2 linked regions of the Caenorhabditis elegans genome follow. The protein of the gene in region 1 purifies or fractionates together with the protein of each later gene. This does not show direct contact. Each region holds a gene or a part of one and is shown on either strand. Other genes may lie near its edges.

Region 1 (16,308 bases):
AGTTTTCCCTTTTTTTGACTCAAATATAAAAAAAAGGGACCAAAAAAGTTTTATTATAATATTTGGTCATTTTGGGAAATAGGAATGGCTTTTCATTCCTTTTCCAATGGCCGCACTCCATCTTCAAACTAAATTTAAAAATTGATAACTCATCACATCTACTTACAAACAGGTTTATTATATTTCTATAATTTCAGATTGCAGACAAAAAGGAAGACTGTTGAGAAATGAGTAAGTCAAATTAAAACGTGGGCAGACAGACATGTGATAAAAACCTAAGCAACTTGTCCCGCTGGCACTCAAGATGATAGCAGGAGAGGGGTAGAAACAAGATGAAGCTATCATAATTATTCTTTCACCCACCGAGCGTGTTTTGATAGAGCCCGTTTTTGTTTTCATCGGAAAAGTGTGTGCAGCAAAAAAAAACATAATCAAGCTGTTGCATAATAACAGCAACCTTTAAAAGAAAAATTCGAGGGTTTGACTGAAATAATTTAAAATTTTGACATAATTGGAAGATTATAAGAATGGAGTAAAAACGAAGCGACACTTGACAGATACATAATTTCTAGACAATGCACACCGACTATAGTGAAAATAATTGAAAATACAAAAGAGAAGAGAAAACAAGACGATGTAAAATTGAGAACTGAAGTTCATAGAAAAGAAAAAGGAAGGAGAATTGCAAAAAAAAGCAGAAAAAACAAAAAAGGTAGTGAAAAGAAAAGAGAGCCAAGTACGGTACCACTCAATTTTGCATTTAGTTGTAAAAGCATGACATTCGCAATCATTTTTTACAATACACCTAGGAATGGACACGATGGATGACTAAGAGATGACGTTCCTCTCTGGAAGTGAATGGAAAAGAAAACGGAAAGCGTTGCGGAAAGTTTTGAAACGTGTGTCATCTCGATTACGCAATATGCAAATGGATGTGCGTCTCCGTCCGCATGTGTGGCCCCGTTGGAAAACCGAGTGGACCCCGTGCTCTCCTTACTTCCCGGGCTTTTTCGCTCCCTTTTCCCGCCTCGATGACGAAGACGAAATGGCGGCGAAGTGACCAGCAGAACGCGAAAAGAGTGTGGACGCTCGCGGAGAGCCGCACGTGGGAGCGGCAAAGACGGGGGAAATTGTGCAAGACTCCCGCGAAACGCAGAGGCGTCCGGAGAGGAGAGGGCGGCAGAGTTGAGGAAGGCGGACGGGAGAAGAAGCAGGGCAAGAAGAACGAATGCGTTAGGGAAGCGGACGACGCGGTTGACGCCAGGCCGCGTCCCAGCGATAGGGGACGTCTGAGAGTGTTGCTCGAGACTCTCGATTCGCTGGCAATTAGTTGTGGACCACCGCCTTGAATAGTAGGGCGCGGAAGAGAGATGCAGACGTCGCACGCGGCGACCCTTCCGCAGAGTAGAGAGCCCCTACTGAACCATTAGACCACGCCCATTTCAAGAGAAAAGAGAAAGAGGAAACTTGCTGATCTCCTCTCTTTTTCTCATTCTCTTTCACGTCCATCCGCTTTGACGCAACGAGCAGAAGGAGCAATGGGAGATGCGGAAAGAAGGGAACAAATTTGTTACGCAATCACGAGCACTTTCATTTCTAGCGCAACCTCATTTCCTCTGAATAGGATGCGTCGACTTGTGGAATGGAGTAGAAAGTGATTTGGGAGAGTTGGTCGAGAAAATTATCTTCATTTCATTTCCCATTCAGACGCCTCGTAGCATTACAGAACTATGTCTGGATGGTACCAGGGAGGCACTGCAGGGAGGTTATGAAAACATTTTAAGGCATCGGCTCATCATCAAAAAGAACGGAGGAACGGGGAGGCACATGATTCATAAGTACCTCCTGTGAGCACATGAATAAAACAAAGTGAATTGTCAAACAAAAATGACGGACACTACTGTGGCGAAAACTCCGAAGTCTATACTTTCGATATTAGTCAGTTAGATATAATGAGAAAGGGATGAATATTTTCATTACAAAGTGCATAAGGAAAGCAAGGAGAGATTTTGCAAATGAACTTTATTTCGAACCTCCCCTTTGTTGCATAGTAACGCGCTTTGATGGAAAAATGGATAGAAAAATAATGAATTTTGCTTGGACTTTGCAAGCTTTTTCTCAAACAGATACACATTTGATATAATAATAACAAATATGAATGGAAATGAAAATGGCGAAATGAAGCATTTTCAAAACACTTCACATCAGAATTGATAAGAACTGGTCACTTATTCAAAAGCAGCTGATAACTTCCATTCCATGGTCAATGCGTTTCGATTTGGAACAAGCTGATAAGGGTAAAATTGGAGCTCTGAAATTGAAGAGAGAAAACTAGAAGTTTCCGTTCCTTGAAAGGTCAGTCAACTGACCAGTTGTTTTATCAGCATCTGTCTGTAAATTGTCAATACCCCCAAATATTTCTTGAACTGCGTTGAATGCTGATATGATTTAATTTCAAGTAAGATAGAACTAAAAAGGGCTACTTTTCTTTAAGGTCCGTCCCTTGCCATCCCATTTGTTTCTGGTCTATATTCATCTATTATGGAATGCTCGACTTGCGGAAAGGATTAAACGCAGGGCACTGACCATCAAATGCACGGATGCACATTTCAACTAGTCAACTCCCAGATTAGGAAAAGATTCAGCAAGATTATTTCAACCGCTTTGCAGTTTTCTCAGTGATAGAGCAGATGGATAGAATGCATCTCAAGTATGAACACTGATGTCTCATAAAGTGTACTTCAATCCGCTTCTTTATTTTAGATAGTCAAAAGAACGGATTATAGGTTAAACTCGCAAACTGTTTTGTTCTATGTCCAAGCTTCAGAACTCACCGAACGATTCAAATGATCAACAAACGTTCTTCCTTTCTCTCGCAACAGTCAACAGTTCTTTGTGTACTTTTGGTGCAAGGTAAGAAAAAAGTTTGGTGGCATTAGCTTGACGTGGAGGTTCGCTTTCTTTCTCTTTCTTCTCCAACTCCACCTTCTTCACCCAAATATTTGTCCATGTTCATAATAGCGGAAATGCTAGAGTCCTCCTTTTCAGGTTGCAGGGCATAGAGGAGAAGGGTGCGAAAGTTTGTTTTCGAATGGAACTTTGAACAAGTCGAAAGAGCATATTTCTGCAAGTTTCACCATTGCGCCTAAACTTTTCACACACCAAAATAGTTTGTTTTCTCCTAAACCACAGGGAAAATTATGGAAAGAGTTCATACAGGTAGTGTTTTTCTGAAAGTTTCCTGATTCAATGTTCACAGGTTAAAAAACGAGTTCAATTTTAGGTTGAAATGCGTTGCACAACAAGGAATAATATGTGGTTCCGCAAAGTTTCAGGGTTCTCGAGTTTTTTTTGAAAATTTCAATTTTTAAATAACTGAATCAAATTCATTTTTGTGGTTTCTTTTAAATTGCATCATTTGATCTCAGTTTACAAATTAAAACTAATTTTCATCTATGCCGTTTCCCTTTGCAAATGACTTCACCTCAGTTTTCACCTTTTATGTCAACATTTGAAATACAAGCAGAAATGCTAAAGTTATCAACATATTTAGTATAAGGACGCCATTTATTTTAGTTCTAAAAGTGACATCATTTAAACTTCCTAAGCTTCATCAGGCATTTGCGTTTTTGCTGAATGACATGGCCGAGGTTTTCATCCGGTGTAGCAATGTTGCGAAACCTTCTTGCTTCCGCCCCACTTTCCGCGAAGGTGTCAACTTTCCATTATATCTTCTAGAATTTCGTTTAACAATTCACGGGCTCTCTTACCACCTCGACCTTCTTGCACAATGGCGGCTAACAATTTCACCTCCTAGTGAGCACTCGCCATCATTTTGAGTGACGATCTTCTTAGGAACGCACACGCTCTTGAATTATAGACGGCAGAGGCTCGAGTGAATGGTCAGTCGTGTTTTCCGCAAGAGAGAGCGCCAGAGAAACGACGGCGTTTTTAGAAAAGCACGCGTATTTTTGAGGCAGCAAGGGGGAGTGAGACGAATTGATGAAGGAGCGCGGAAAAGCATTCAGCTTCAAATTCAGAGGGACCATTGAGAAGTCTCGAAAAGGACCGAGTATAGAGTGGTCAGTGCGTCCGAGACGGAGAGAAATCATGGAGAGGAGAGGGTCCCGTTTTCTCTTTCCTTCACGCTTTTTCTCTTTTTCCCGTCCATCTCGAATTGCCAATGGGACCTTTTCGTCTCGCCGAGTGACCACCCGTTGCGCCATCTCAAAATTGAACACACACTAACGAGAATTCAACAAGGGACGAACTGAGTGAACAGTGGCAAAATGATTCGTCCTAATTTTATTTTTAGTGACACATTCCTTCTCCCCCAAAATTTGGCACAAACTCTTTTGACGGAGCCTATTAGTGTTTAAATCATCAGTCATGCTAAAACGGGACAAGAATTTTGAATTTCGTCTTCCATTGCCGACGAGGGCGGGTCACCGCCATATGGAGAATAGGAGGGGGCACTGTGAATACGCAGTACGATTTGAAACGGTCAGGACAGAAAACATTATGCGGGTTATCACAATCAACAACATTCACGCGCGAATTGAATACTTATTTGTTTGGATTCAATCGTATGTGATAACAACAATACATGTAAAGGAAAAAGCACATTCACTTTTACAAGTGAGCTTTAAATAGTGTTTTCGAAAAGGGGAAACATTTATAAAACATTCTCAAACTGAAACATTAATTTTGATTGTTTGAAAAGTCTGATGAAGTTTGCTTTTTAAATTCAACATCCGAAAAAAAGAAACATAGCTTTCATGCCGAAACCTACTCAATTTGAAATGCATATATCATACGTGTCCGAGAGAGAACCGCGCGAGCTTTCTTCCTTTTTTGCATCCAATTTTGAATGTCGTTCTTGCTCACTATTCTTGTTCGTCGCCGATGGAACACATAATCCGTGTCTTCCGCTGCTTTTTTTCTGTTTTCCTCATTCACCTCACGTCGACCAACGTCCGACTAGCGGACACGCTGAATCGGGAGCATCAGCACAACAAAAAAGGAGTGGAGATGAAGATTCGTATAGCAAAAACATTGTAAGCGGACATCCGTTCATCGTTGAAGATTGAATGTGCGGGGGAGAAGAAGTGAACCTGTCACGTGTGCTAAAGGAAAATTGTCATTTTTGTAAAAGATGTTCGTCTTTTTTTTTCCTTAAAAACTCCAGGCAACGAGATGTTTGTTCTAAATTTCCTTCCTACAAAATCCAGAACTTCTCCATAAGAAATCAAGTCCCTGGAGCATTCATCTGCTCCGAGTTATGACCATTCATTGCGATATAAGTTTCTCGAGATTGAAACGCGATATTCCGCATGAGACTCTTTGGCAATTAATAAAAACGAAGCAGTGTGGACGTTCAAATCTTTATATTCTCTCATTTTTCGATACTATTTCAAATGAGGAGACGTCGTCCCCCCAATTTTCAGGGTTGCGCAACAGCGCGTGCTCAAGAATCTTTTCCGCGTGATGCCGCGCGTGAAAGAAAAGGGGAGACCTCCTTGCTCATTGACCACTGCTCAGAAATGTTGACGCCAGTTTGGCTTCGTTCCGCTGAACAGAATGAAAACGAAAGGCGATGGAAGGGTTGTGCAATAATCAATGTTTATTAAATTGCGTCGGCGAATTTCAACGCAGGCCCCCTTTGACCACAACATTTTCTTTTCAGCTGCCAGGAAAATGGATCAGCTGATGGAGAATAATGAATGATGAAAAGTTTCTTAGGGCTTACAAATTCCATAATGATAAAATGTTGAAATGTAAATAGTTAAAAAAAAACAAACATAAACAAATTATTACGTAATTTTTGATGTTAAAGTCTGAAATATATAGCTGAAAGTTTACAAAGGTGGTACCTTCGTTCATGGTACCGCCTCCTACAACAACAAAAATCCTTTTGGGCTCCGACAATAGTTTTATGTTTCTGACTAGTACGAAACAACTTGAATGGAACAGACGTTCACGAGAACTTCAATTTTGGGAGTTCTGATTTAGTAATGCAAGGATAATATGTGAAAGAAGAACTCCCTACGATTTTGAATACGATATTTAGCTCAAAATAGTTTCAACAAAGTCCACCGTTTAGCTTTTCTCTTCAAGTATAGAATTCCACGTGACAGAAAAATCTGTATTATTGTATTAAAACAGTGATACACAGAAGATGCACATATAAGAACACATTTTCATTTTCAATTACAGTCAATTCATTCTATTAGCTTCAATATTCACCCTGCTCCTCAAATCTTTGAAGATGCGCTCAATCTCGTATATTGTCACGTTGCAAATCAAACAATTGGTTCGTCGAGCAATTAATACTGAAAACAAAACAAGCATTCATCATATAAAACAATTTGGGTTAGAGTGTAGAACATACTGAGTCATGACAAAACCCTTTTCATTTGTTGATCCTATTTTCATCTTTAAAAAAATAACAAGACTAAATACTATAATACAACAAACTTCTCTTTTTAATTTGAAATCAATTTAACACATATTGGAAAGGGACGGGTCTCACCCACTTTTTCGAAAAAGTTAGATTTAAACTGTTTAAAACTTCAACTAGCACTTCGTTTTATTGATAATCAAGCTTCAACTCAAAAAAAAATCAAATCTATACTTACAATAAAAACATGCAACACAATTGTGTTCGCATGATGGTGGGCTCCTCCGTTCATGCATAAATTCAAGGCAGGCTGTGCAACAGTTCTCTTCCCCGTCTTCGTATCTACTTATACCGATACTAGACATCTTACAGATCTGAAAGTGCTACAAGTAAGTTTTATTAAAATATTGACATTATTTATTTTCTCAACTAGAAGTTAACAGAATTTAACAATATCAGTGTGACACTACTCACACGAAACCAAAAAACGTGAGTTAAAATGAGATTGAAAAGAACAGAAAACGGCAAAAAAAACTGGAAGAAAAATTCTTCTTTTTCTTCTTCCCATCATTTTCTGTTTCATCTTCTCGTCTCAACTCGTCTTTTTGTCAATTTTCTTTCAGAATAATCAATTGGCACTGCTATTCAATATTTTGAAATTGAGATACATGAAAGAAGAACATAAAAAAGAGAAATCTGAAATTTTTAAAACAGATTTGCAAACTGACAAGTTTTTTCACAACGCTTATTTCCGAGCTTCAATTATGGACTATGGTAAAATGTTTAGTTTACACAAGCTATTTCACAAAAAATAGAAAATTTAATCAACAAAACATCTGCACTTATGTTATGTAGAAACAGAATAGATATATAATTTTCTAATTGAAAAGTTCAAAAAATGAGCAAATGCTTTTTTTTCTTCATATAACAACCTTTTTGCAATGCCTTCTACAATATTTATTCACTACATAATACTTGGGGCAACAAAACAGGGTGGTGGCTGAGAAATACGTCCGTGATGATTGGAATACAACAGGTGAGGGTAATGGCATCAAAAATAAAATATAAATATGGCTTGAAATTTGAGAAACTGCGAATGAAATTATCAATCTCCATACCAGATAGTGGCGGCTTTGAATTGTACAAAATTAGGAAAAAAACGGTAATTAAAACAACAAAAAAAATTCAGGTTCAGTGAGAATAATCTACTCGAGCTCAACGAGCACCTCTCCCTCGTCGACTGTGGCTCCAACCTTCACATTGACGGCCTTGACGCGTCCGGTCTTTCCAGCATGAAGACTGTTCTGCATCTTCATAGCCTCCATGACAACTAACTCTTGTCCCTCGGAAACCATATCTCCTGGCTGTAAATTGAATCAGTTTTAGCACATCTAATGGTAGTGATAAAATAATGTTACCTTAACGTTGACGTTCTTGATTGCTCCTGGCATTGGTGAGAGCACAACTGTGGACAAGTCAACCTTGGCCTTCTCCTTCATGTACTGCAAGTACTTGACGGCCTGCTCTGGAAGCACCTTGACCTTGAATGGAGTTCCCTTGTAAAGAACGGTGATCTCTCCGGCGCGCTTGCCAACAATTTGGGTGGTGATGTGCTCTCCATCGACTTCAATTGAGTTGACTGGATGAGACAAGTTGAGATCTCCACTGATAGTCACAGTCTTTCCACCAATACGAACTTGGGCCTTGTTGGCGCTTCCTTCGACAAATTCGACTTCAACAGCGTGCTCGGTTGGCCTCTCACCCTCCTTCACTGGCAGAGAAGACACGAACTTGTAGGTCTTCGAGAAGGAAGCCACATGAGTGCTACGTTGTTTGTTCTGGTTCAAGAATTGATTGGCACGAGCAAGTTTACGAGCGTTGAGAGCCGAGGCAAAGGCAATGACAACGTCTTGCTCTTTTGGTGAGAGGCTGGTTCCCTGGAAGCCTTCTGGGTACACTTCTGGAAGATATTTGGTGGTAATGTCTCCAGTACGGAATCTCTTCTCTTGGACAATATCACGAAGAAGTGGAATGTTGTGAGTGACTCCACGAATGACGTAGTTGTCGAGAGCCTCTTGCATGCGGTTCAGAGCCTGTTCACGGTTGTCTCCGTGCGTAACGAGCTGAAATTACAAAGTAAGTCACTTGAAATTATCTAAATGCTAATTTATCCTTTACCTTGCAGATAAGTGGATCGTAGTAGATAGAGATTTCCGATCCCTCACGGATTCCAGAGTCGCAACGAACTCCGTCGACGTGTTTTGGCTCAACATATCTGGAGAGACGTCCGACTGATGGAAGACCGAATCCCTTGTATGGATCCTCGGCGTAGACACGAGACTCGAAAGCCCATCCGTTGAGTGGCACTTGCTCTTGGGTGATTGGAAGTGGGTGACCGTAGGAAACGCGAAGCATCTGTTGGACAATATCGATTCCAGTGATGCACTCGGTAATTGGATGCTCGACCTGTGAGTATTTAAAAATTAAACATTTAGGCCATACTGAGATATTACCTGAAGACGAGTGTTCATCTCCAAGAAGTAGAAGTTTCTCTGAGAATCAACGAGGAATTCGACGGTTCCAGCAGAGTCATAACCGACAGCCTTGGCGAGCTGAACGGCCTGTTCTCCCATTTTGCGTCTCATCTCTGGTGGCACAAAGCTGCTTGGAGCCTCTTCGATAACCTTCTGGTTTCTTCTCTGAATGGAGCATTCACGCTCGTTGAGCCACAAAGCGTTTCCATGCTTGTCGCAGAGCACCTGCATCTCAATGTGCCGTGGGTTGTCAATGAACTTCTCAACGAGCATTCGATCATCTCCGAAAGAAGAAGCTGCTTCTTGCTTGGACAAACGGTATCCTTCACGAGCTTGCTTGTCGTTCCAGGCAACTCGCATTCCTTTTCCACCACCACCGGCAGAAGCCTTGATCATGACTGGGTATCCAATGTCGCGGGAGACTTTCACGCACATATCCTCATCAGCAATTTCTCCGTCATATCCTGGAATCATGCTGACACGGGCTGCGGTAGCGATTTTCTTTGAATGAATCTTGTCTCCCATATCAAGAATAGCCTTAGAGTTTGGTCCGATGAACTTGGCTCCAGCCTTCTCAAGCTCGGCGGCAAACTTGGTGTTCTCGGAAAGGAATCCATATCCTGGATGAACCTGCAAATATATGTTTTCAACGTTTTTAGCAGTTCTGTTTGAAAAACATAACAGAAGACACTTGCAATCTATCTCTCGTCATTTGACTTTGACTATTTGAAAATGAAACACGCGAGATGCTAGAGACTGGAAAGAGACCACTTGGTCACTTGTCACAGAATTTTTGTTTTGTTGTGTTTCGTAGTGAAAGTAGGTGAATATCACGTGCATATTACAAGTAACTGGTTTCTAATATATTACGGTAAATCTTAAGCTGCTACACAGCCAAAAGCTCTCGCTCGGGTTGTCAAACTGTTTGACCCTAGCTTGTCCTCTGAAAAATGCGGTAATTCGTGCTTTTCATAATTTGACCTCACCACAGTTTTCAACAGGCCATAAGAGGGAACTCTAGAGCTTCATCACTTCAAACCCTCATATCTCAGCCAGGTGATATGAGCATGAAAAAATTGAGCATTATCAAAATGTAGGGAATGTTTTATTTCACATTTTTTCAGTCAGCAACTTTTTTAAGCTATTCTCTCCGTTTGAAGTTAAGCGCGAACGCTCTGACTTCTTGAACAGTAGTAGTTGATTTGGAGCGGTGTTCTGAACTTTTGCAAAAACTCTATTCTCTGTCGGATGTCTGGGTAATATGTTTGTGCTACTGTGCATGTAGATTCATGCCACAGAATTTACATTCTCCTCTGATATTTGATTTTTGCGGTTTATCCTTCCATTACATAGACACGTTAGAATTCTTACCGCTTGAGCACCGGTGTCCTCGACAGCTTGCAAGATGCGGTCAGCACGTAGGTAGGATTTGGCAGTTGGAGCTTCTCCAACACATACAGCCTCATCGGCCATCTTTACGTGAAGCGAGTTGCTGTCGACATCTGAGTGAACGGCCACTGTCTTGATTCCCATAGCTCTGGCAGTTTTGATCACGCGACACGCAATCTCTCCTGTAAAATAGACGATTAAATCTAAGATTCTTTTAGATGCTTGAGATTACCTCTATTGGCAATCAAAATCTTGTCGAACTTTGGCTCATTGTAATCGATTCCTACAGTAGTGTAAATCTCCTTTCCCTCACGTTCATCAAGTGGTCTGAAATTGAACCTATTGATCTCAAAACCGAATACAACTTTCAGAAACTTACACTCCTGGTCTGGCAACAGCAGCAGTTGCCAATCCACGATTGGCCACAGCGCGGATACTGGATGCAGCACGGAGCATGGTTCAACCTAAAAACAATGATTTTCATGATAAAATGAACAACGACATCAGCAGTTCACAAAAGAAAAAAGTAAGATGATGGAGAAAAACAGTTTCGTGTATAACTTCGATGGAGAAAGATAAGGACGACCGATTTGATTTGGTCAGTTAAGTGATAAACAGCGATGCCTTGAAAACTCTCTTTATATTGATTATGAAGGAAAACTTCGACTAGTAGAAAAAATAAGAAAAACATGCAGAAATGGCAACTGAGCAACGAAGTAAATAGCCTGGCCAGAAAAGAGAAAAGCAAGAAGTGCGGTGCCCTTGTCCCGCAACAAGATTTTCACAAAAGTTGTCTATCTCTCTTTTCTGATGGACCCAAAGCGCAGTTGCCCCGCTCTCTCTCTTTGCCCATTTCTTGCGATTTTGCACGTATTCGTCCTCTGAACACACACACGCAGAGAAACCGAGAAAATCACCGGGATAGGTTGAGAGTTGGAAAGACGACCTCACAATGTTACAATGAAGAACTTCGAATATAATTCATAGTCCAGTCTGCACGTTTTCTATAATTTTTGAACCGAGAGTCCTACAAAAACTAATAATTTTACAAAAAACGTGTATGCGTGAAACGGAAAATCTAAAGACTCACACAGTAAGTACACTCAATACACAAAAAAAAACGGCAAAATCACCAAAAACAGGGAAGAAAAAAGCCGACCTTCTCTGGCAACAGCGAAGGCAAGAATGACCTGCTCATTGACCACTACATGATCAATAAAACAACAAAAAACAGTCCAATAATGCGCGGGGTTGTCCAAGATATCTCACACAGCAACCTCAACGGAGCGCGTTTGCAGTGATCTTCTCTGCGTCTTTGCACACACTGGCCTTTCTCTCGACATGTTGTTTATTTGAGAATGTTTCGTTGAGTTTCTTCATTTTATTTGATAATAAATGGTCGTTCATTGCATTGGCAAAAAAAAACAAAATTAATACATTTTAGGAACTATCAGACACATTTTCAACTACTAGTCAATTATTCTTCCTCTGCTTGGCTTCGTATCGACTGAGAATAGAGAGTGACGGGAAACCAAGAATAAACGTTTGGACAACCCATTTTGCGGTAGAAGCAAAACTGAAAATACAATTTGTTATAAAATCAACTGAAAAAGTTCACCTGATATTGGCTTTATGGCAGAGATAAAGAGCGTAAAGAGCTTCACCGGCGTGTGCTACAAGGGCGAAAAGGTTGGTTAAAAGAGCAACAAATGGATACTCAGTTCCAATCTTATGGACGAGAGATCCAATTAATGGAATATTAAGTGCTGCTGCTGGATGGGCGTAAGAAATCTAAAAATCAAAGATATAGATCGAAGTGGAAGCTTTGAAATATCTATTTTTATCAAACATAGTTTTTTTTCACTTGAAACCTTAAAACTTACGTAGTTGATAGCCAGAGCTGGAACAATGAGGAGCCACCAGAAGAGTTGTGGAGTTTTGTAATAGTCCGACATTTCAATAAGTGTCAGTTTGCAAAATGATGGATCTGAAGCGGAATACTTAACACCCAAATAATTACGAAGCGACCGGCACACTTGAAGAGAGCAGAAACTGAAATAAAAAATTAGATTTTATCATGTTATCATTAGTTGGCTATATTCTACATAGTGTACGAGAATCAAAAAGTAAGTGGAGATGAATAGTTGGTTTCTTTTTTTTTTGATTCTCTCAAACGATAGAAGAAGGGGTGTCTTCGTGTAATAGAGGAGATACTATCTGAATCAATAAGGACACCAATGGTGACCTCAATAATAGAGCGTGTAAAGACAAACTAGACGCAGACAGAAAAACAATTCGGGCAGCTCTTTTTGCGAATACGAAAAGTTGTACAGTTCTCAAAAAAATAATAATAAGACGCGAAAACAGGGCATTGATTTTTAATTTTTCGCCATTTTAATAAGTAGCACATGAATATTGACACTTAAAAAGTACTTTAATTATTTTTAAATATGCCGATTTCATCTACAATTCAAAACAAATGTTCTTAATAAAAATTCACCATGGAAACCAAAATAACGAAACCGAGAAACTTACTTTTTCACAAAAGGGATGAGTGTGATGTACGAGGGAACAAAAGCGTGCACTTTTTCTTTCAAAATAGAATCTACCATTCTTTTCGAGCAAGACCGAATGCTCATGAACGGGAACCATGTACATGTAGGTCTCATATTATTTTCCAAAATCATTGGGGTTCTTGCAAAATATGGGTAGAGCTGAAAACGAGAATATCTCTAGCCAATAATTTAGCAACAACCAACCGTAGTTGTTTTGATACCCTCTAATCCGCGATCTCTGAGCTCCATTTGTAAGGATTCCATAGCTCCGCGAACCGCAAATTTGCTAGTGCTGAAGTAACTGTTAAAGTTTAAAACAAAAACTTTGGAACATTAAATTACCAGTAAGAAAGTCCCATCGTTTCACCAGACCACCCAGCAATTGAGCAAACGCAAACAATGTGTCCGTCGTTCTTGGTTTCCATTTTTGGGAGGAAAGCTCGAATTGTCTGATACGATAAAAATTAAAAATAGAAAACACGTGGTACTAATTCAGTGTCCGTACCAAATTTTATAAAAAACCAAACTTCGACTCCAAACATGTTCTGATACGTAAATGTTTTTCAACGAGTACAAAGAATAATATCTTGATTTGTTTATTGAAGTATGTTTTGAAACACAAATAAAGTTCAATTAAACTCATTTGGTCTGTCGAAAATATATATTTTTTTTGTTTTTCAATTTTTTAAGTTCTCAAAAAAAATTTTTTGACTAGTTTTAAGTTTTAGGAAAGTTTTAGGAAGTTCAAATAATAAACATAGAACAAACGGATTAAAGTTATTAAATGTTTGCTTTAATTGACTGAAAATACCCCGAAAAAACTGACACTAAATTTGCTACGTCTAAAAAACTTTCGGACATATCAGAGTCATGTTGAAGCGTTTAAAATGACTAATATTATAAAAGCACAAGAACGTGTTTATTGAAAAAAAAAAAACTGAATCTGAGCTCATTCGATACTTCTTTGTTATTTTGATTTACCATAAAAAATTTAGGTTTTTTAGCATCCTTGTTATGAAACTTTGCGTTTCATGCCAGAAAAACAATTTTGCTTTAATACTGCTCCTTAAAACAATATCGATTTCATTTTTTGTTATTTTCTCACCATATTTTTAAAATGCTAACTATAAGTATTGATACTTTGTTTATATTTTAAAATTTTCATCTTAAGCAAACTTACATTAATTGTACCAAAAATGTTAACGTCAAGACACTTTCTGAGCAGCTCATCCGAAATCTCCATGAATGATGTGAAGGATAAGATTGCAGCATTACAGATCACAATATTAACGTCACCTAAATCTAATCTTCCTCAAATGCCTCATTTTTAATTTAAAAATACCAAATGTGTCTTCAATTTCTTTTGCCGTCTTTTTCATATTGTCCACATCACTTATATCGCAATACCAAAACTTGGCCATATTCCCCTCTGCCGCAATGGTTTTCACCGTCTCCAGCCCTCCTTCCTTAATGTTTTATTCAAAACGGTGAATCATTTTTGGCATTCATACCTTGTTCACGTCAATTATAGCAACTTTTGCTTTTCTCTTGGCAAAATCCAAGGCCATCGCTCGACCCAGACCAGATCCTCCTCCTGTAATTATGACGGTCTGCCCTTGTACACTCTGTAAAATATGAGTTTTGAGTTTTGATTTTGCGTTCAATGAATTGATGATGAAGATGAAAATGAATTATCTGGTACCAAATGAATCAAAGTAAAACATACTTTTTGCCGGAGATTCAAAAATCGATGTATATCCATAGGAATGTCAATGAACAATATTCGTAATGCAACTCCAAGTGTGCTCCATAGTTTCCAAGCCCAGCTGGTATACATTTCCTGCAATAATTGTCTAACTCAGTCAAGAGCGAGTCACGGCAACTCGGTCCAAAACCATTTCTAATTAGTAAACTCTCAAAAACCACAACTAAATAGCTTAAAACCATTGTAAATTAGCTTATTTTTGCTAATTAGCAATGATTTTAAGCTAATTAGTTGTGGTTTTTGAGAGTTTACTAATTAGAAATGGTTTTGGACCGAGTTGCCGTGACTCGCTCTTGACTGAGAATTAATAAACAATAATCAAGCAATAGGAAGATTGTTGGAGGTGAGTACCGAAATCTCAGACATTTTCTTTTTGGATTCAAAATGCCCCAAAACTATTGAATTTCATTTCACATAATTTTGAAACATAATTTTAAAAAAAGTTCAAGTTATTAAAAGTTGATAATCAAATAAAACAGCGTTTTGCATTTCATCGAATGTTATTAAAATTTGGTAGTTTTGGGTTTTTTCGGATCTAAAAATCAAAATCTCAGACTACTCCACCTTCATTTGGTAAATTGTTATTAGAAAAGTTGGTATATATATATTATTTTTCAAAAAGCTTTTAATAATAAAAACAAATAATAATTCAATAAACTATTTTATTTTCACTTTTAAAATCCTGTCAGAAAAATCGAAAAGTCATAGACAGTACAAGCCGAGAGGATAGAGGAGGTAAAAGCAAAATAGGTCAGGGTGACCATCAATCCTATCCCCTTCGCCGTCCCGACAATGCGCCGCGTATCCATCCGATCTGTGTTTTTATGATTTTCGAACAAGTGTCAAATTAACTATATAAAGTAGGAAAACATGTCAATCATATCATTTATTGTGGAACAGGTAAGAACAAAAACCATTCTTATATTAAATCTTCGTCGCTCACAGACTTCTCATTTACCTCGTCCAATAGGGGTGTTTTGTCGATTTTCACTGTAACAATTAAAATATAAGTGTATCAGGTAGTCATTTTATTGTGAAAAATAAAAATAAAAACGCTTACTTCCAGGCGGGTCCCCTGTTATTTCATACTCATAGTCTTCTGTTGGGGGAGTTGTTGGAATAATCGCTTTTTCAGTGACCAGTTCCGCAGATAATTTTCTATTTGTATCAATAATATTTTCCGTATGCTTTGAGTCTCCAGAGTGAATTGTTCCAGAATCTGAGTTTTCAGCGGTAGCTTCTGAAGTTTGTACTGTTTCAGCAGTAGAGTCTACACTGGGCAAGATTGCTGGTGACGTCATACACTCTTGGCATCCAATCAACGAATAACAAGTACTGCTAGGCCAGCTGAAGTTCTCGATTTTATAGAGTGATAATTACTTTTTTATGTACCTTTCGTAGTCATAATTACCATAGCGAGTGTCTTGCTGAATAAATTGATACTGATCAGATGGGATTTCAACGTGCATATATGGATATACTTGTTCCATTCGACTGGCATATCTGAACATGTGATAGAAAATAGCAGAGAACTAACATTCAACCTATTTAAAAAACGTTTACTTTAACAAATTACATCAAACCTACCGTCTATAATTGTCATAATATGCTCGATAATAGTTGTAGTATGGAGCATCGTAAGAGACTACACCAGGAGTTTGTGGT
Region 2 (16,855 bases), on another chromosome or scaffold:
CAACGTACACTTGATATGCCTGTCTCTTCATTCTGGAACTCGCCGGGTCACGCTCCGGTGGGGAGTTTGGATGAAGGTATGGCTTCTGGAAATTAGAGTTTTCAATTTACAAGATTCTAGGTATAGGAGAGCTTGCTTACTTGTGCAACATCGCTTCCGAAGAATGATGACAGAGAGAAGGCCCACGTTGGGACGGAGCACAGAAGAAGGGCTGCCGAGAAGAGCAGCAACCTCATGGTGTGACGTCTGTAGTTAGGATACTATATCACTAACCTTGAATAAAAATGGGGGTTAGTGACACACTCTGAAGATGGCTGATATGTTAGAATCGAAAAAAGAGCAATTTGATGAGAGATGGGAGGAGCAAAAAAAAAAGAAAAAAAGCAAACAAAACAATTGGCAGGAATTTGAATTTTTGTTTCCAAATTAGCGCAAATCCCGAGTAAATTGCCCAAAATTTGATGAAGAACACAATTTTTCCCGATGAATGGCGCACACTTTGGCTCCACCTACTTGCTCTCTGCTGCCACTGCTAAAGTGTAACAAAAAAGAGAACTGGAGATGATAGTGAGGGGTCAAATGTCGAGTCAACGCAACTAATGTTTAGATTTGATAGCGAAAAACTATTTGAAAGGTCCCAAACGGTGAGAGTTAAAAGAGACGCAGACAGATAGAGAAGGTCATTTGTGATAACTTTTTGAATACGATAAGGAAATGAACAGAGAACAAAAATGTCTGGAAAACGATCGAGTTCGGTTCAAATGAACAAATTGGGAACGATGACACGACTGAACATGGTCCATCTGAAGCTTCGTGACAAGAGGGGTGGAGCCGCCAGATGTTGGGAGCCCCCAACCGAAGCTCCGCCTCCTGAATGAGTCACTGAGCGCTTCTTCTTCATCTTCTTCTGAAGGTTTCGAGATACGGGGAGGAAAAAAGATTTATGCGTTTGGTTAGAAGAGACAGGCCGTAAGGTCAACTATCTCTCTCCTTCTACCCGCCAGACGTGTGTCTTCTTTGTTGCTGCACGGAGACACTGCTCCAAAGACTCTACCAGAGTTTAGGGCAAAGTTTTGAGTGGGAGATGAAGGGGATAAAAAGCAAATGAGCTTTCTTTAGTTTCGGTGCCAAGTCCGTTGCTGCAAGGTCTTCGGGAAAGAAAGTTTGGAAAATGTGTGCAAGTAATTGTCTTGAAATTTTTTCCTGAAAATCAACTAATTGTTGTTATTTAATGTCGTTTAAACCGTCGGTGAAGCTGTTTGCTTCAAAAATTTTGAAGATCTAGATGATCTCACTTGATGGCGGAGTAGGGCCAGTGTAGTAATGATCTTACATCTCCAAATCGGATTCACTTCAAACCTTCAAAAATTTAGTCAGTTTAAACATGTTTTGGTTTTCACCACAAGCAATTCTAAACTTTTCTATCCGGAACAACATTCGGAAAGATCAGAGAGATATCAGCAAAAATGATTTTTGATTGACATATCGTGGTCCTGCCACTCCTATCAGCTTGACCACGGCGGATCAGATTTCAAAATGTTGTGTTCGATTTGTTTCGATGTATCAATGCATCTGAGTGCAAAGATTGGTTTTGACCTCAACATTTCTCATGCTGAACATTTTTGTCTAACTACAAATCCCAAAAGTGACCTTGCAACACTACTGTATCGAGACATAAACTCGCAAATGTTTATTCTTCCAGAAACTTTTTGTGTGCAGTTGTGTTTTGATTATGAAAGGAAGTTGGCAATAGTTTCTGCAAATAGCTGCTAATTTGTGGTGTTTTGTATATAAACATTGAAATTTGATCTCATTGGATGGGCTTGCTCAATGAATTGTTAAGATTGATTTGACGGAAGAGATAGCATATCAAAAATCAGTTGGAGTTTCTCTGGTTTTTTTGGATTTAGAAACTGGGAAGAGTCATCTGGATATAATTTGTTGAGGATGGAATTTCAAAAGAGAAGAGTTTTGAAATAGATAAACAAACAAATAAAAATGAAATTATAAGATTGTTTGAAAGTTTCAGAAAACATAGTTAGAGTTTTTTTTACACATTTACCCATTTCAAATTCGAAATAACTTTTTGCAAGTCCACCTAAGGTATAAAAAATTTCAAGTGCCCGAAAGAGGCGTGGTTCGTATTATATTCAAGAAAATTAATTATAATTATGATATCGTGTTTTGAAACATTTATCAAATTGCTTTCTTTTCAATCGAAAAAAAGCGCGCGAAAAGATGTTTTGAGAATTTTTAAAATTTTTTAGATATACTTTTTTCGAAATTTTAAGCAAAACTGCTTTTGTACTCATATAGTGCGTGTATTATTATCAAGCTAATTTTTTAATTCATAGGGAAATTATTTTTGTCGACTTTCAATATGTTGATTTTCAAGAGCATAGTTTTTGGCAATTTTCTAATCAAAAATCAAAAAAAAAATCACAATTCTTGAAAGTTAAACCTTAAAAATAGATATTTTGAGATTGTTTGGAAAAGACAAAGACAACCATTTTCTGTACCAAATAATTAAGTTTCAAATCGATTCGAGAACCTACTTTTTGCAATGCAACTTCTGTGATCTGATTGCCCTCTGTGGTTTTTTTGTTTGAAAAAAAAAAAAAACTGTTGCCAATCTCATCGCGGTCATAATGTCGTTTATAAATTTGAAATTTCTTGGAAGTTTAGCTGTAAAATACATGTGACATCATTTCTGTAGACCAAATATAGAAACTGAACGCTTGATCTATAGTGCACAATGAGCACCTGCTCACATCCCATTTCACTTTATGAATTTCAATCGTACTGTTTTTTTTAGTTTCAAAATGGTACAACGACCAGCTGCGTTGCTCGCTTAAACGAAATCGTATCGTCGAATTTTGGCGACAAAAAAGTTGCACACATCTGCCACGATGACCCCGCAGCTGCGATTCGTGCTAGTACCCGGTTTTTAATTATTAGATAAAAATTAATCAAACTGAGTGGCGCGGGCGGATAAGTGTAACACTTCAAGCGTGCCAGATCGACTGAAAAAAACGGTCCGAAACTTCAATTAATCATTCTGAAGCCTTCTTCTCACATCTTGGTTTTGCTGTAAAGTGCATACACAAACACACACGTTGTCATATAGTTTGTTGTGATGCTCCTCATCTGTTCTCTTTCTTCTATTTTCTCTAATGCTCATCCACATTCAAAAGAATAAACACAAAAAGAGGGTCAGTGGGGGTCGTATTGCAGCTCCGAATAGTTTATAGCGGTTTTTGTGGCGTTCTGGGAAACATGAGAGACCGTGCTCCGTCGTAAAACTTTTAGAGCTTTCGTGTGCCCAGATGGTGTTGAGCGGCTTGCGGCAATAAAATGTGAGATCGGAGGTCTTTCAAATGTTGCCGATTAGATAGGAATTTTTTTTTCGGCCGGGGTTCTTGTAACTTTGTCGTTTCTAGAGTGGACCGTGTTGAAGATTTAGATTTAGATTTTTCCTGAAAGTGAAGAACGTCTCTTTGAAGACTATAGGAAAATTATCAGCAGTGGCAGAAACTACTTGCCCAAATTAGGCCCGAAAAATATAAACTTCTTTCGGAAATTTGAAATGCTTTGATTTGAAAAGGCAACACTTTATTTAGATCGCGATTTACTTCTTGAACATCTTTTTGGCAAAAAATTTGATTTTTGATTCTTAAAAAAATTAATCATGAATAAATCACAAATCAAATTTCACCGTTCTCACAACATGTTGAATCGTTTTTACCAAAACTTCAATTTGTTTATGTTTATTTTCACCTGATTAAATTTCTTTCAACACGTACAGGGATAAGGAAAGAAGATCAAACTAGAGCTATGATTAAAAAAAAGTCTTGCCCAACTATTGTTCAAGTTTTCCAACTTCTAAATCTGGTAAAAAAATAGTTATTGAGCCACATTAGGAAATAAAGTAACTAAATCTTGTAGTCCTAATACATGCATATCTAGGGTTGCGTAAAACCAGTTGAAAGAAGCAAACTTGGAAAATGAGGCACAAAAATGACCAGAAAAAATCTCTAAAAGTTTTCTGAAAATTCTTTCGAGTAACTGCGAAGTCTTGTAGGAATTGGAGCCCTGAAGCTAATATGCATTTGAACAGAAGTGGAGATAATAGTTAGCTTTAAAAATTGCAAAGATGAACCTACCGATGTAGTATGTTTTTCCAAATAATATTTAAAAACCATTAATTTATTTTAGCTACAGTTTTTTTTTCCTAGATTTTTTGTTCACTATTTTGATGCTTTTTACATTGAATATCTAGATGTTTATTGAAACAATTATAGAAATTTCGACAAAATCGAGCGTACGGTATCTGAAAATTGTCTCTCGTTCTAGGACCTGGAAAAATTGTTTTTTTTTGCAACCAGGCGATAAATGCAACCTATAAAGTAAAAACCGGATAAAACCGGATGATCAGAGGAAATTTTCCAAATTGTTCTACGAAATCTTCTGAAAGATCAAAGAATTCTTCAGCACTACTCACACATATGTTTTGAAATCAAAACCGCCATCAATCGCATTTATCAAAAAGTGTCACAACAGCAAGAGCACATTCGAATGAGCATTTCAATGAGTTACACGTGTCATTTCGTCTCTTCTTGCTCTTCACATCAGCAGCTATCACTTTTCCAATCACATTCCAACGTGGCGGAATGATGAGTCAGTGTGAATGAAGTAGATGAAGACAGATACCAGAGGAGCAACAAGAGAGATCGCAATTATTTATGGAGGTGACAGGCGCGAGCAGGCGGCCCAAAATCCCCTCACCAACCTTTCGCAGATTAATGAGGAAGGAGAGGATGGAAAGAAGTTGTAAGTCTCCTCTCGTCCGCCAGAAGGATGGACTTTCTTTTTGCAACACAGGGCCACTTGGTGTCTTTGGATGCCACACAAAGTCGACAATTCATCGAAAAATAGAAACACAAAAAAAGTGAGAGGGAGGGGGGTCATTGGCGTCTTGAGATTGTTCCAGAAGACTTTTGTTGATTTAAAATAAACAAACGAAAAATCGGTGGTTCAGAAAATTTGATCAATAATCCTGCCGGAGAAATTCTGAAATACTCTGATAAACTGAAAATGGTTGTTTTCAAATTTGTGACCTTTAAAAACCCGGAAACCTTCAAGAAAATATAGAAATATGGTCGAGGTCCTGCGACGACCGATACTTTCTACCGTAGGCGCGAATACGGTAGATTTTCTTGATAATTTTCGTCATTGAATTATCGATTTTTTGTGTTTCTAGGTAAATATTGTACGTGGTTTTTATATTTTGTTAATAAATTTAAAATTTTCAAATACCATAATATATTGACAAAACTCTGAAAATATTCTGAAAATATTCTTATGCCCAGAAATTGTGTGATTTTGTGTCAAAAAAGGTACGCGGTCTCGACACGGCTAATTTTTGTAAAATGTGAAGAGTACTGTAATTCCTAAACATTTATTTAAGCGGAATTTGTACCGATTTTTCATAATTTTTCACTCATCATATGATGATATTATTATATTTCAGTATTTGATAAGTAAATAAATAACTATTTTATCGAAAAACTATTAAAAATCGATGAAAATTCCGTAGCAACAAGTTCGAAATTACAGTACTCTTCGAAGGCGCACATCTTTTTGGATTTAACAAAAATATTTCGTGCCTAGACCGGGTACCGTATTCTAGCTTTTTAAAAAAATTTAAATTCGCAATATTTTCGTCAAGGACGTTTTTCTGCGAACTTTTGCCGTGATTAATTATTTCAAAAACAGATAATGTTCTGATTTTGATTATTTTCTATATTTTTTGTTCAATTTCGTTTTTCAAGTGTAATCAGAATTGTGTTCCGAGTGTAACCACAGTTGACCGGGTCAACACAAAAAGTGCGCGCATCTCACATCGTAAAGCCTGTCTGGCGATCGGAGACGGCTGGCACTTTGCCAGAAAAGTTGATCCGTTTGTTGCGGTAAACATTCAAGAACACGCCACATTCAATTTCAATGACATCATTTCTGAACATCTGCTTTTTAAAGTGTTGAGTGCAAAACCACAGAAGGAACAGCTGAAACTTTTCATCAAAAACTTAAACAATTATGCAAACCCTCAATGTAAAATTAACAAAAAAGGCACAGCAATAAATAATCACAATAATATAAATAAGGTTTAACTATTAACAGAGAAGCATCAAATCAACATTCAGATCACTTCTGCTCGACTCTCTTGAACCAACGGCGACAGACGATTCCATTATTCTCCATTCTCATCACCAGTTGATTTTGATCGTCGATAGTGTAGAAATAAGTCTCTGCGCTGGTTTCTGGTTCATTCAGGCGAATATGATGCTCCGAAAGGATTTCATCTTTGAAGTCGAAAGTGATCTGAAATTGGAAATTGTTTTAATTAATTATTTAAATAATTTTCGTTCTCACCTCATGTTGATTTCCATCCAATCCAGGAGCTTCGAATTTTTTTCCAAGTTCCCATGCCTGATAGTTGGTGTTCTTTTTTGAAGTTAGATTTTCCATGTTGTACCTGGAATAGGCAAGATGAACTGAATGTTTTCGTGGTCTCTAGACGAAAACATGAAAAATTTATGACAAAGATTTCCTCCACCACTTGGAAATGCCAAAGAAGCATGTGACATATTTATTTTAAAAATTTCACGTATTTCCAATTTTAGAGTTGACAGTTGTAAATTCTAAAAATTAAAAATTTCGTTAAAAAAGTTTTTCACCAGATAAAAAGTTATGGTTATTTTCAGTTAAAAAAAATTATTAATTGAACTCACTTCCCAGCTTCTTGATTTTGTGAGATAATTTTAGTGAGTCCAGCCAACTTGATCATTTGCCGTACGAACCAGTTGACACCTTTCGAGGAGAGAAATTCATCAAAATTCTCGCTTTTATCGAGCTGATAACGGCCAAAGAACTTGTCTGGCACTGACATTTTCCTTTTCTGAAAACTTTTTTAATGATGCAAATTAAATAAACGGGGAAAAAATTGAAATAAATGAAAGAACGAATTAAATTGAACGGTAACAATAATTAGGTGTCGGTGGAGCGCGATTGCGTCTGTATTAAGTCACCACAGACTAATGGAAAATAGATTCCGAGGAAACATATTTGTGAAAATTTTATAAGTGAAAATAAAGTTCAGGTCAATTTTGAAATGGAACTAACGATTTTAGAAAAGAAAAATCGCCATTTCCCTTTCTTAAGTCAACTGTTCTGTATTTTTCTTAATTTAGCGTTCGTGCCAAGACCATAAAATGCGACCCATTTAAACTATTATTAGTAGAAGATGAAAATAAACTGCAAAATAAAAAATATACTTGCAAATGAACTAGATAATGAAAAGTTCAGCTGAAATTCCAGATTTATATTCCCAAAAAAATCTCCATTTCCACATGCCACATTCGTTTCATGTCTTATTTATTCACGAGTATGCGTTTTTGTTTTCCTGTGGGCACTCAATAAACACGGAAAATCAACGAAAAACAGAGGTATAATCGAAGTTGACACGTAGGAGCTCGCTTGGCACCTCGCCAAATATTCTCTCCGTTTTTCCGTCATTCATTTGCTTATTTTGGCGCCTTTTTTCCTACTTTCCGCTTCTATTTGCCCATTTTTCAGCTGCAAAAATTAAGATGGGATGAATGTTATGAGGCGAGAGCCATAGAAAAGCCGCCTTTAGTGCAAACACACATACATACTTTAATCAGATTGGTCAGACTTTTCGAAATGATCAAATGCCGAAAAAGCAGAGACGCAGATAGGCGGGGCGGAGCTATTCACAACTTTTCGGGTTTTCTTTTTCTTTGAGCTCCCTCATTTCAGGAAGATGAAAAGAGCATCTCTTGTGTTTGAAGATTTTATGTTTTGCTGCCTTGTTTTATTTTAAAGATCACGCGAACTCAAAATAATTTGTGCGAACGCTGTGTTGCAAAAATATTTACGAAAATCGCTATTGTTGAGCAATAATATAAATATCGTATTTCCTCTATTAGTATTGCACTCTACTACTCAACTTTGAAACGTTATAACTCAATTCTTTCAAAAGATGTAGTATATATTATTAACTACGAAATGACAGAAAAAGATCTAACAAATATTTTGTTAGTTGACAATTTTTGAATAGAACAAACAATAACTGATATTTAAGTTGTCAAAGTTGAACAATGGGATGCAATACAAATAGAGGAAATACGATATTTAAACTAGTAACTTTGTTTTTTAAATAAAATTTTAAATAATCGAGAAAGTTTGCTCTAATTCCCGCGCTGCCCTAACAAAATGGAAAGATTCATAGAATATATAATTCCACTCACTGATCTTCTTCCCTACTTCACAGAAGCTAGTTAGTAAAGCATGAAGATATCAAATTTCATTTCCATAACAAGTTTTTCGAGAAGCAAGCGAAGACTGCATAAACTTTTAGTTTTGTAGTCGTTATGTTTTATGACGTGTATTGCCACGTGATTTCTTTTCAGTTTAAAACTGTATTGCTCCTTTTATGTTCGGATAGAATTTTTAGTACCAAGGCGTAGCCTAGAAGAAAAAAAAAGAAAATTCGGCCACCCTAAAAATTCTCAAAAATGAGTTTTTTTCTCCGTTTTCCCAATGCTGAAAAAAGTAATTGTTTCCAAAATCCCTTTTCAGACTTTTCATAAGGCTTAATTTCTTCAGAATTTCAGTACTTTTGAAAAAACCAAGTACGGTTAATTAGAAAATTAACAAAAGTTCTTACTTTAAGAGACTGTCGAGGTTTCTCATTTCCAATAATTTCTCCTTGTAAAAAATTGTATACTTCCTGATTTGGTAATTGAAATATTCAATATTATAACAAATTTCCTACGTTCACCCCAAAAAACAAAAAATAATAATTTCAGTTGTTTTTCTCATATTCATCATTAATATTTTCCATTCATTCATCGCTTTTTCTCTTTTTTCTTCTTCTCAATTTCTTCCCCACGGATGGGGCATTTATGAAGTAGATGTCGTTTGACAAAAACACGGAAAACTCTTCTTTTTTCTTTTCCAATATCTCTTTTGCTTTGAAATTTCGAATTTTTTGGTATTTGTCACTCAACACATAAAATATTCACTTCTTTGGAATTTTAGATGAAAGCTCACTGGCTTAGTGAGAACAATGGGACACCGTTTAGTTGAAAAAGAAAACTCTGCTCTGATCTATTAGGTTGCTGTTTTTTTTTCAGGAAATACATCAAATTTTGGCGCGAAAGTTTGAAACTTGTACCTTGGAAATGATCTGGTATTTTCAAATTTTTGCTAAATATCAAAAAGAAAAGTGTACCCGGAAGAGAAAAGTTCTTCGAAACATTGATGTAATTTTTAAAGGGCTTCTTGGGATTTAATTATAGGAACAATTTTGGATGAAAAAAAACTAGAATTTTGTAAACTTCTAAAAAGATCAAAAAATTGCTAGAATTATTTTTATAAGTAACGGCATTCAATTTTTTTTAAAAAGCTAAACTTGCAACTTGTTAATAAACTGAATTTGTGAAGTTTTTCAACGTAATAATTTAAAAAAAGGAAACACAAGTCTGTTTAGAGCTCGGTCGTTGATTTTTTTTGCAAGTAGATAAAGGCTAAAATTCAAAAAAATATTACTAAATTTTTACAACGTGATGGCCAAAAATTGAATTTGTTTATTGAAATTTGGGCATGTTTAGTATGAAATTGTTTCACAAAAAAACACAAATAAAAACACACAAAAAATCTTGGTGATTTTCAAACTTTTCAGTTAAACTTTTTTTTTTTTAATTCGATTTTAAAAAAATGCTCAAAATACGGGGCACTAGTCGGAATAGAAATATAGCTACATTAACATTATTTTGTGATATCAATCTAAACAAAAAAGTTGAGTGGTATTTGTTTCGTAGAAGGCAGTTTAAAAAATAATAAATGAAGCACATAGAAAGTTAATACCACTCGAATTTTTCAGTCAAAGTTTTGGCAACATGCCAGTTTTTCAAAAATTTTGGACTTTTTGGTTAATTTGGTTAATTTGGTTAGGTGGTGGTTTTGGTTAGGACTAATGTAGCTTGGGAGTCCTAGAATATCTTAATATAAACAATTAAAATGCAACAAGAATTAAAACTTGTAGAAATGTTTTTTTTTCAAAATTATTATTGTTGAAACCTAGTAAGTATGTACCTCTTTCTTTCTACAAATTTGAAAAATTAAAAAAAAAATGTTGAAACGTTTTCCCGAGATTGTTATTATAAGAATAAGAAGAATATAGGAGTGGTTTTAAACAATTTCCCCACTTACTCTACTTGAGCTTTGAAAAGTTGTAGCTTTCTTACTGAAAGTAAATGAAACATTGTAACATTTCTATAGTTCTAAACTAGGCAAATTTGCGGAATTTGCCGAGCTCTGCCAATTTTGAGATTTGCCGTACACTCCTGTTCTAAACTTTTGCCATGAAAACCAATGATGTCAGTACCTTAAATTTGTTTTTTGCGCTTGATATTGTTCTTTATTGGCACTTATGATGAATAAAGGAGCAATATTGTTTTTTTGGTTTAAAGGTACATATTATATCTTCTCAATTGTTTTCATTTAAGAGCTCATCCCAACTAAAAGCATCCGAACAATAAATTATTTTGGCTATAAAAGTGCATCAATTTTCGAAACGTTTTTCTATTTTCTTATTTTGAATACCAATTAAATGCCGGCCAAAATGAAATTCAATTTAATTGTATATGAAGATACATTGAAAGTTAAATGTGTTCCAAATGACGCAGTCTCTCATTCATTCACTAACAAAGAGCTTCTTCTTCGCGACATTAGGTTTCTCCAATTGACCCTTCTAATTCAATTTGATGGTCCAAACGAAAGCTTCGGGACCCTCTCGCCTTTTTGCTCAACTTATCTTGGCTCTGAATCTCACTCGTCACTCTTTTTCACAACAGACATATTTATTTCCTTTTGTCGCTGAATGTCTACGTTTTTTGAGACGCTCTATAATTTTTTGTCGAGATTTTCAAAAGGAAAGAAATTCGGGAGACAAGTACAAATTACCGAGAGCTCGTGTCTCTTTGGACCTAGATTTTTGAATCAGATTGCATTTTTTTGGCAAACTTTTGGTTTCTTGTTCTAAAGCTTTGTGTTTTAAACCAAAGTTTTTAGTGAAGAAAAAATCTGGAAATTTTGGTGAGATGGGAGAAAACGCATCCTAGAATCGGCAGGTCTATATTTTTGTCCAGTTTGCGGGGCAATTCAAATTCTGAAGCAATTTCAACCAGGATTTTCACACAATTAACGGAATTTCCACACACTTAAACATTTTTTTTTTGTGATTTGACTCTTGGGTAGAAACTGCCGTTAGACTAATTTTTTGTCGACGAATTCGACGAATTCGACGAATTGGAAATTTGCCGGTTCGCAGATTTACCGGAAAGTGTCCTTTACGGCAAATTGCCGATTTGCCGTTTTCCGGATATCAATTTGCTGGAAATGTTTAGAGGGATTTTTTATAAGACAGAAACACTTAAAACTGTGCCTTTTTGAAACTTTTTTTCCCGTTTTATTCATATATTTTCATAGAATTTGCTTCCTTTTTAAAATAGATCTAGAGACATTCAAAGGATGCGTACAATTTTGCGGTTTAAAATTGAAATCCTGAAATTTCCAGAAAAATGTGCGAAACCATATTGCGAATTAGCCAAAAATAATTTGTCGGATTGCCGGAAATTTTCAATTCCGCCAATTTGCCGATTTGCCGGAAAAATAGTTTGCCGCACACACCCATGATTTGACTATTTCTCGGCCATGTAGCAAATGCCAATCTAAAATGATTGTGGCCTAAATAACGTGGCCCAAATATGCCACTTTTAAATAATATAAACCCACAAAGCTTTTTCTTTGAATTTCTGTGAAAGATTCTAAAAAATCGGTGGCCGAGTCTTTTTTTTTCTAGGCCACGTCCAACTAAAATTTCTAAAGTTCATATATATATTCAAAGCAGAAACTCTGGAAATAAATTAGTCAAAATCAGAATTCTTTGCCAAGATCTTTTGTTTTGTTGATGTAGTAGTCTCTGCATCGAATTTCATATTTATTTTTATATTTCTTTCAATCTTTTCCTCTGTGTCTCAAGCACAAATTCGTCCGCTTCAATTTTAATTCTTTGGAAAATGTCGGAAACTTCTTTGGAAAATGTCGAAAAATTGGAAAATGTCGGAAACGTGCAAAAATTGAAATGACGAATAAACAAATGGTTGCCTAATTTTAAATGAATGCATAACCCAAAAAATATATAATCGTGGCCTAGAATACCAAAATGTGAAAAATAGGTTAATTAGGCTAATTTTCTCATGTCCTGCAGGCTTTCTCTATTCACAAATAATCATTAGCTTAATTTTTCTCATTCAGATTCGAATCGATTCCCAGCCAAAATAACTTGTACACTTTGTGTCGATTTACGAAAAATATGTTTTATGCCGTATTTTTGACTCCGCCCACAAAAGAGGCGGGTCTGTCACGAACACGCCCATTTTGTGGGCGAGCCTTTTGTCAAGAATTCAAAACCTTCGTTCCCACATTTTTCAATAATTCCACGCTTCTCAACAATTTTCGAGTGCTCTTTTCTTTGTGACGTCATTGAAATGCTTATGTTTCCAGCAGTTCTACCAACCATCATTTTCTTCATGTTCTGAATGCAGGACATGACAAAGCCCGCAGATCCAAAGGTATCCCTCTACTGAGTTAATTAATCATTAACCTATTCTATATAATTTCCAGGATCCACGACGGCCTCCAAAAGTAGTCATCACACAGCCGTCATCGAATGATCTGATGCCCCGTGTCTCTATCGATACAATTGATTCGTATCATCGAGAGGTTTCCAAGTCAAAATGCTGCACAATTTTATAAGCTCCTCATACTTATTTGTATCATTGTTCAACAAAATTCGCATGTATGTTCACATAGAGAACTGTATTTGCTGGTGGTGGGGGTAAAATAAAAATGTATGATAAAATAATAAAGAATAATTGAATGAATCAATGAACAACAAGAATGATGAATTGAGGAAGAGTGACAATTGACAGAAGGATTCAAAAAAATTGGGTCCGGCAATTACAAAAAATAAGAGTAATGAACATGTTCAAATTTTTGAAGAAATTTGAAAATTTGCCAAAATGGTTCACAGAGAAAAATAGGGGGCGCACGGATGAATACAGAAATTATGATAAATGATGAATGGAAGTAGGTCCAGAGAAGATTCCAGTTATCAAGTAGTGGGAGAGAAAGGGGTTCCGAGATCCGGTTGAGGGGAGCTACACAGTAACTGGTAGAGAAATAAAATAGAAAATAGAGACCAGATTCCAAAAAAAACTGGGCACCTAGCTCGTTGAGATTAGGGAGGAAAGAGAACCTTGGGAAAGGAAAAGGTACGGGATATTTAATCGGGATCGCGGAGATGGGGAAGAAAATGGAATCATTGTCCGAACAGAAGATAAATAGAGCAATCGTATGCAGGTCTTGGACCAAAATAAATTGATCTTCTGGATAGAGTGATTCAGATAAACAAATAGTGTGAAAATTCAGGAAAAGTGGATAAACTAGATTTGAAAAAAAGTATAGTGATATGTTGGCGAGTTTAGGATTTCGATTGAAAATAAACCAGGTCACACCACTTAACGCATATCCTCATCTTCCACCTCGTCAGGTTTCAGAATTCCAGGAACATCTCGTTTGCGCTGTTGAGCTTGTTGAATCTCAGCTTCTCGCTCTTCAAGATACAAATCCGACGTGTCTTCTCCGTTGTGCTCCTTGATTTGAATCAAAAAGTCGCGGAGATGATTGCGCATACTGGAGATTTCAGTGTTGAACGAGAAGAATCCCTTGATGATAATGCGAATTTGATCTCTGAAAGACGAACGTTGTTATGCTGTCACTAAAAATTTTTTTTCAACATTCTGAATTTTACAAAAAACAACAAATTTTTTTTCGAATTTTGTTCCTTCTCCCGACTAAAAATCAACATTTTTGCAATACAGTTTTTTCTCTGAAAAAAAAACCAAAAAATTCATTTTTGCTAAAAAAAAAAACTAAAAAACGACAACCCTGATTAGGACTGTAGATTTTTCGATTTTTTATTTTGTTTTCTTTCATATTTTTGGTGAAAAATTCTGATCTACTGTAAAATGTATAATTATTTTTTGAATATTTCAAAAAATCGTACTCGAAATTTAAGAAGTGCAATTTTGGCCAAAATATTTAAGTTTTTCAAAATAACTTTGCGAACAAATTTTGTTTTACGTTTTATATTTTGTTTTTGGAGAAAAATTTTCGCTTTCGAAAAAAAAATTCGGATTAAGCCCTGATGCTGATCAGGGCTGGGACTTTTCGGTATTTTGACAAAAATGGTTTTTTTTTGGTTTTTTGGACAAAAAACAAATTTTTTTTCAGTTTTTTAGTTTTTTAAAAATAAATTCAAGCATCAATTTTTCGTTTTTCGCAAAATTAATTTTTTTGTTTTTGGTCAAAAATTATTTTTTTGATCCCAGCCTGATGCTGATATATATGAGTTTTGGTTTTGCAAAAAATGGTTATTCATTATTGAAATTTCGAAACTATTTTCAAACTTACTGGTTCATATTATCAAAATGAGCTTGGAAGTTTCCTCCGATGTGCTCATAAATGTAATCAATATTCGGCTGCGAAGGATTCGCATCGTTCAGCGGAACTTTGATCGAAAACTCTGGAGCACGGAATAACGCGCACAACACTTCGGCGTAGTAGGTCAAACCGGCTACATGAACTTGAGAACTGTCACAGGCAACTGCTAACACGTGTTTCAGAAGATCAATGTAGTAACGCTTGTAGAATGGTTGAGCGATCTTGTCATCCTGCTCCGAGACACGAGCCAGTAATTCTTTGAGAATGTCGAGACCTGAAAAAAGAAAACTATAAGTTTGAAACTAGTTCTTCTAAGAATTTTTGACTTGAAGATGAAAATTCAATTTGTACATTTCAAAATTTTTGTTGCGACGCGCTAAGTCTATTAGGAGGTACTTTCACTTTCATTTAAGACATAGTAAATTGAAAACAGGCCATTTTCTCATCCAAGATGCAACACTGGCAGTCGATTGGAAACATTTTTCTTCTAATTTTATTTTTATGTTCCTCTATTCTATTTATTACAAAAAATTATGATTAATTTTTTTTGTTGCAAAACCTTAAATTTAGTCAAGAGATTCCCAGTGTTTCATCGCAAAAAAAAACTGTAAATTTCAACAAAAAGTACGGTTATACAAAATTAATGTCTGAAAATTCGTTATGAGCATGGAAACGTATGTTTTCTAGTTTCTATCTTGTAGCTCAAAACTAAATGACAAATAGACCAGCAGGCGGAAGAAAACAATGCCAAAACACGAAAAATCACAATCGTTTTGTCATCATTGATCGTAAAGATGTACTTGGGTTACTTTTTGATTCCTTTAGTAACTATTTTCTTGTCTTACACCCATCGTTGATCTCTCCGCCTGCATGGGCCCTCAAAGTACATTGTGTGTTGTAGGGTTGTTTACCCAATAGCCGCGAAAATGATGACTTTGGGCGACCCCCTCCTCCCGTTCGTACGTTATGTCTATATCTCTATATATAAAAGACCTCTACGTTTTGTCAAGTTCCAAACTCATTTTGCTGGCTTCTATTTGCTTTTTCTTCGCTCGAATTGAAATTTAAACTTTGTTAATAAATATATAATTTTTTTTCAGTATCATTAACTCTCAACTTCAAAAATGCCGCATCAACGTCTCGTTGCCGACTGTGTGGATATCAAACCCCTCACAGAGCACATTCATTTCCGTAATGGCCGAGTTGCTTTGAACCGTCTCATGAAGTCTCCAATGTCGGAAAAGATTTACAACTGGGAGGATCCAAACGAGACAAAACGTGGAGTTCCAAACTCTGGCCTTGTCCACTTGTACGAGAAATGGGGATTCGGTGGATTTGGTATTGTTTTCACTGGAAATCTCGTTATTGATCCAAGACATCCATACGAAGCTGGACAGGGAATTGTTTCAAAGGAAAATGATACTCCAGTAATGAGAGATTGGTATGCAAAGATGGCGAGAGCAATGAAGGCAAATCATGCACTGGCAATTGCTCAACTTAATCATGTAAGTTCAAAAACCGAGATCTGGATTTAAAAATGAAATGAATTACAGCCAGGAGCGTGGGCTTTCACTGAATACACCGATGGGAGTGGCAAAAAGCACATCATCAGTGATGGAGCTCTTGATATTCTGAATGCTCCGAAAAGCGTTGTGAAGTCTGAATTGATCGATCGTGTTGTCTATGCTGCAAAGCTTCTCTCAAACTGTGGATTCGATGGTATCGAAATTAATACTGCATTTGGCAATCTCTTCTGTCAATTTCTGCTCAACAACAACAAGAGAACTGATGAATATGGTGGAGCCGTTCTAGTAACTCGTACTCAATTCCACATCGATTTATACAACGCCATTAGAAGAGAAGTTCCAGCTGCCAGTGGTTTCCTAATTGGCCTGAAGCTGAACTCTGCCGATTACCAGAACACCTTCACCAACGATGAAGTCGGTCGTCTTTGTGAGATCTTCGACGAGACTGGTTACGACTTTGTTGAATTGACTGGAGGTCAAATGGAACAATGTGTTGAAGAGGCTCAACAAAGAGCAAGCACTATCGCGCGTGAAAATTATTTCCTTCAATTTATCGAGACTGCTGCAAGATCAATGAGAAAGACTGTTGTCTATATTACTGGAGGTTGGCAAACTGCATCAGCGATGGTCAATGCTGTGAAGCTCAACGTTACACAAGGAATAGGTTTTGCTCGAGC

What was found.
Region 2: the proteins of F27D9.12 (region 1) and lbp-4 fractionate together in Caenorhabditis elegans (co-fractionation; one large-scale study listed by BioGRID). This does not show direct contact.

The regions. Positions count from the first base shown.
Region 1 is NC_003284.9:7,650,200-7,666,507, forward strand, and holds F27D9.12 (RING-type domain-containing protein), read right to left. Parts: upstream 6,777-16,308; 5' UTR 6,766-6,776; coding exon 6,639-6,765; intron 6,333-6,638; coding exon 6,217-6,332; 3' UTR 6,202-6,216; downstream 1-6,201. Other genes in the region: pcca-1 (Propionyl-CoA carboxylase alpha chain, mitochondrial), read right to left, coding at 7,606-7,764, 7,819-8,523, 8,579-8,866, 8,914-9,564, 10,306-10,505, 10,556-10,650, 10,703-10,779; dhs-29 (NADP-retinol dehydrogenase), read right to left, coding at 11,797-11,899, 11,942-12,114, 12,207-12,375, 12,859-13,037, 13,083-13,170, 13,221-13,327, 14,059-14,174, 14,221-14,344 and 2 more; F27D9.13 (VWFA domain-containing protein), read right to left, coding at 15,563-15,633, 15,704-15,990, 16,036-16,146, 16,231-16,308.
Region 2 is NC_003283.11:7,810,681-7,827,535, reverse strand, and holds lbp-4 (Fatty acid-binding protein homolog 4), read right to left. Parts: upstream 6,959-16,855; 5' UTR 6,950-6,958; coding exon 6,792-6,949; intron 6,536-6,791; coding exon 6,433-6,535; intron 6,382-6,432; coding exon 6,205-6,381; 3' UTR 6,059-6,204; downstream 1-6,058. Other genes in the region: mig-6 (Papilin), read right to left, coding at 1-85, 141-236; ZK742.6 (uncharacterized protein), read left to right, coding at 12,687-12,719, 12,772-12,903; ZK742.4 (NADH:flavin oxidoreductase/NADH oxidase N-terminal domain-containing protein), read left to right, coding at 15,777-16,157, 16,206-16,855; xpo-1 (Importin N-terminal domain-containing protein), read right to left, coding at 13,668-13,899, 14,623-14,926.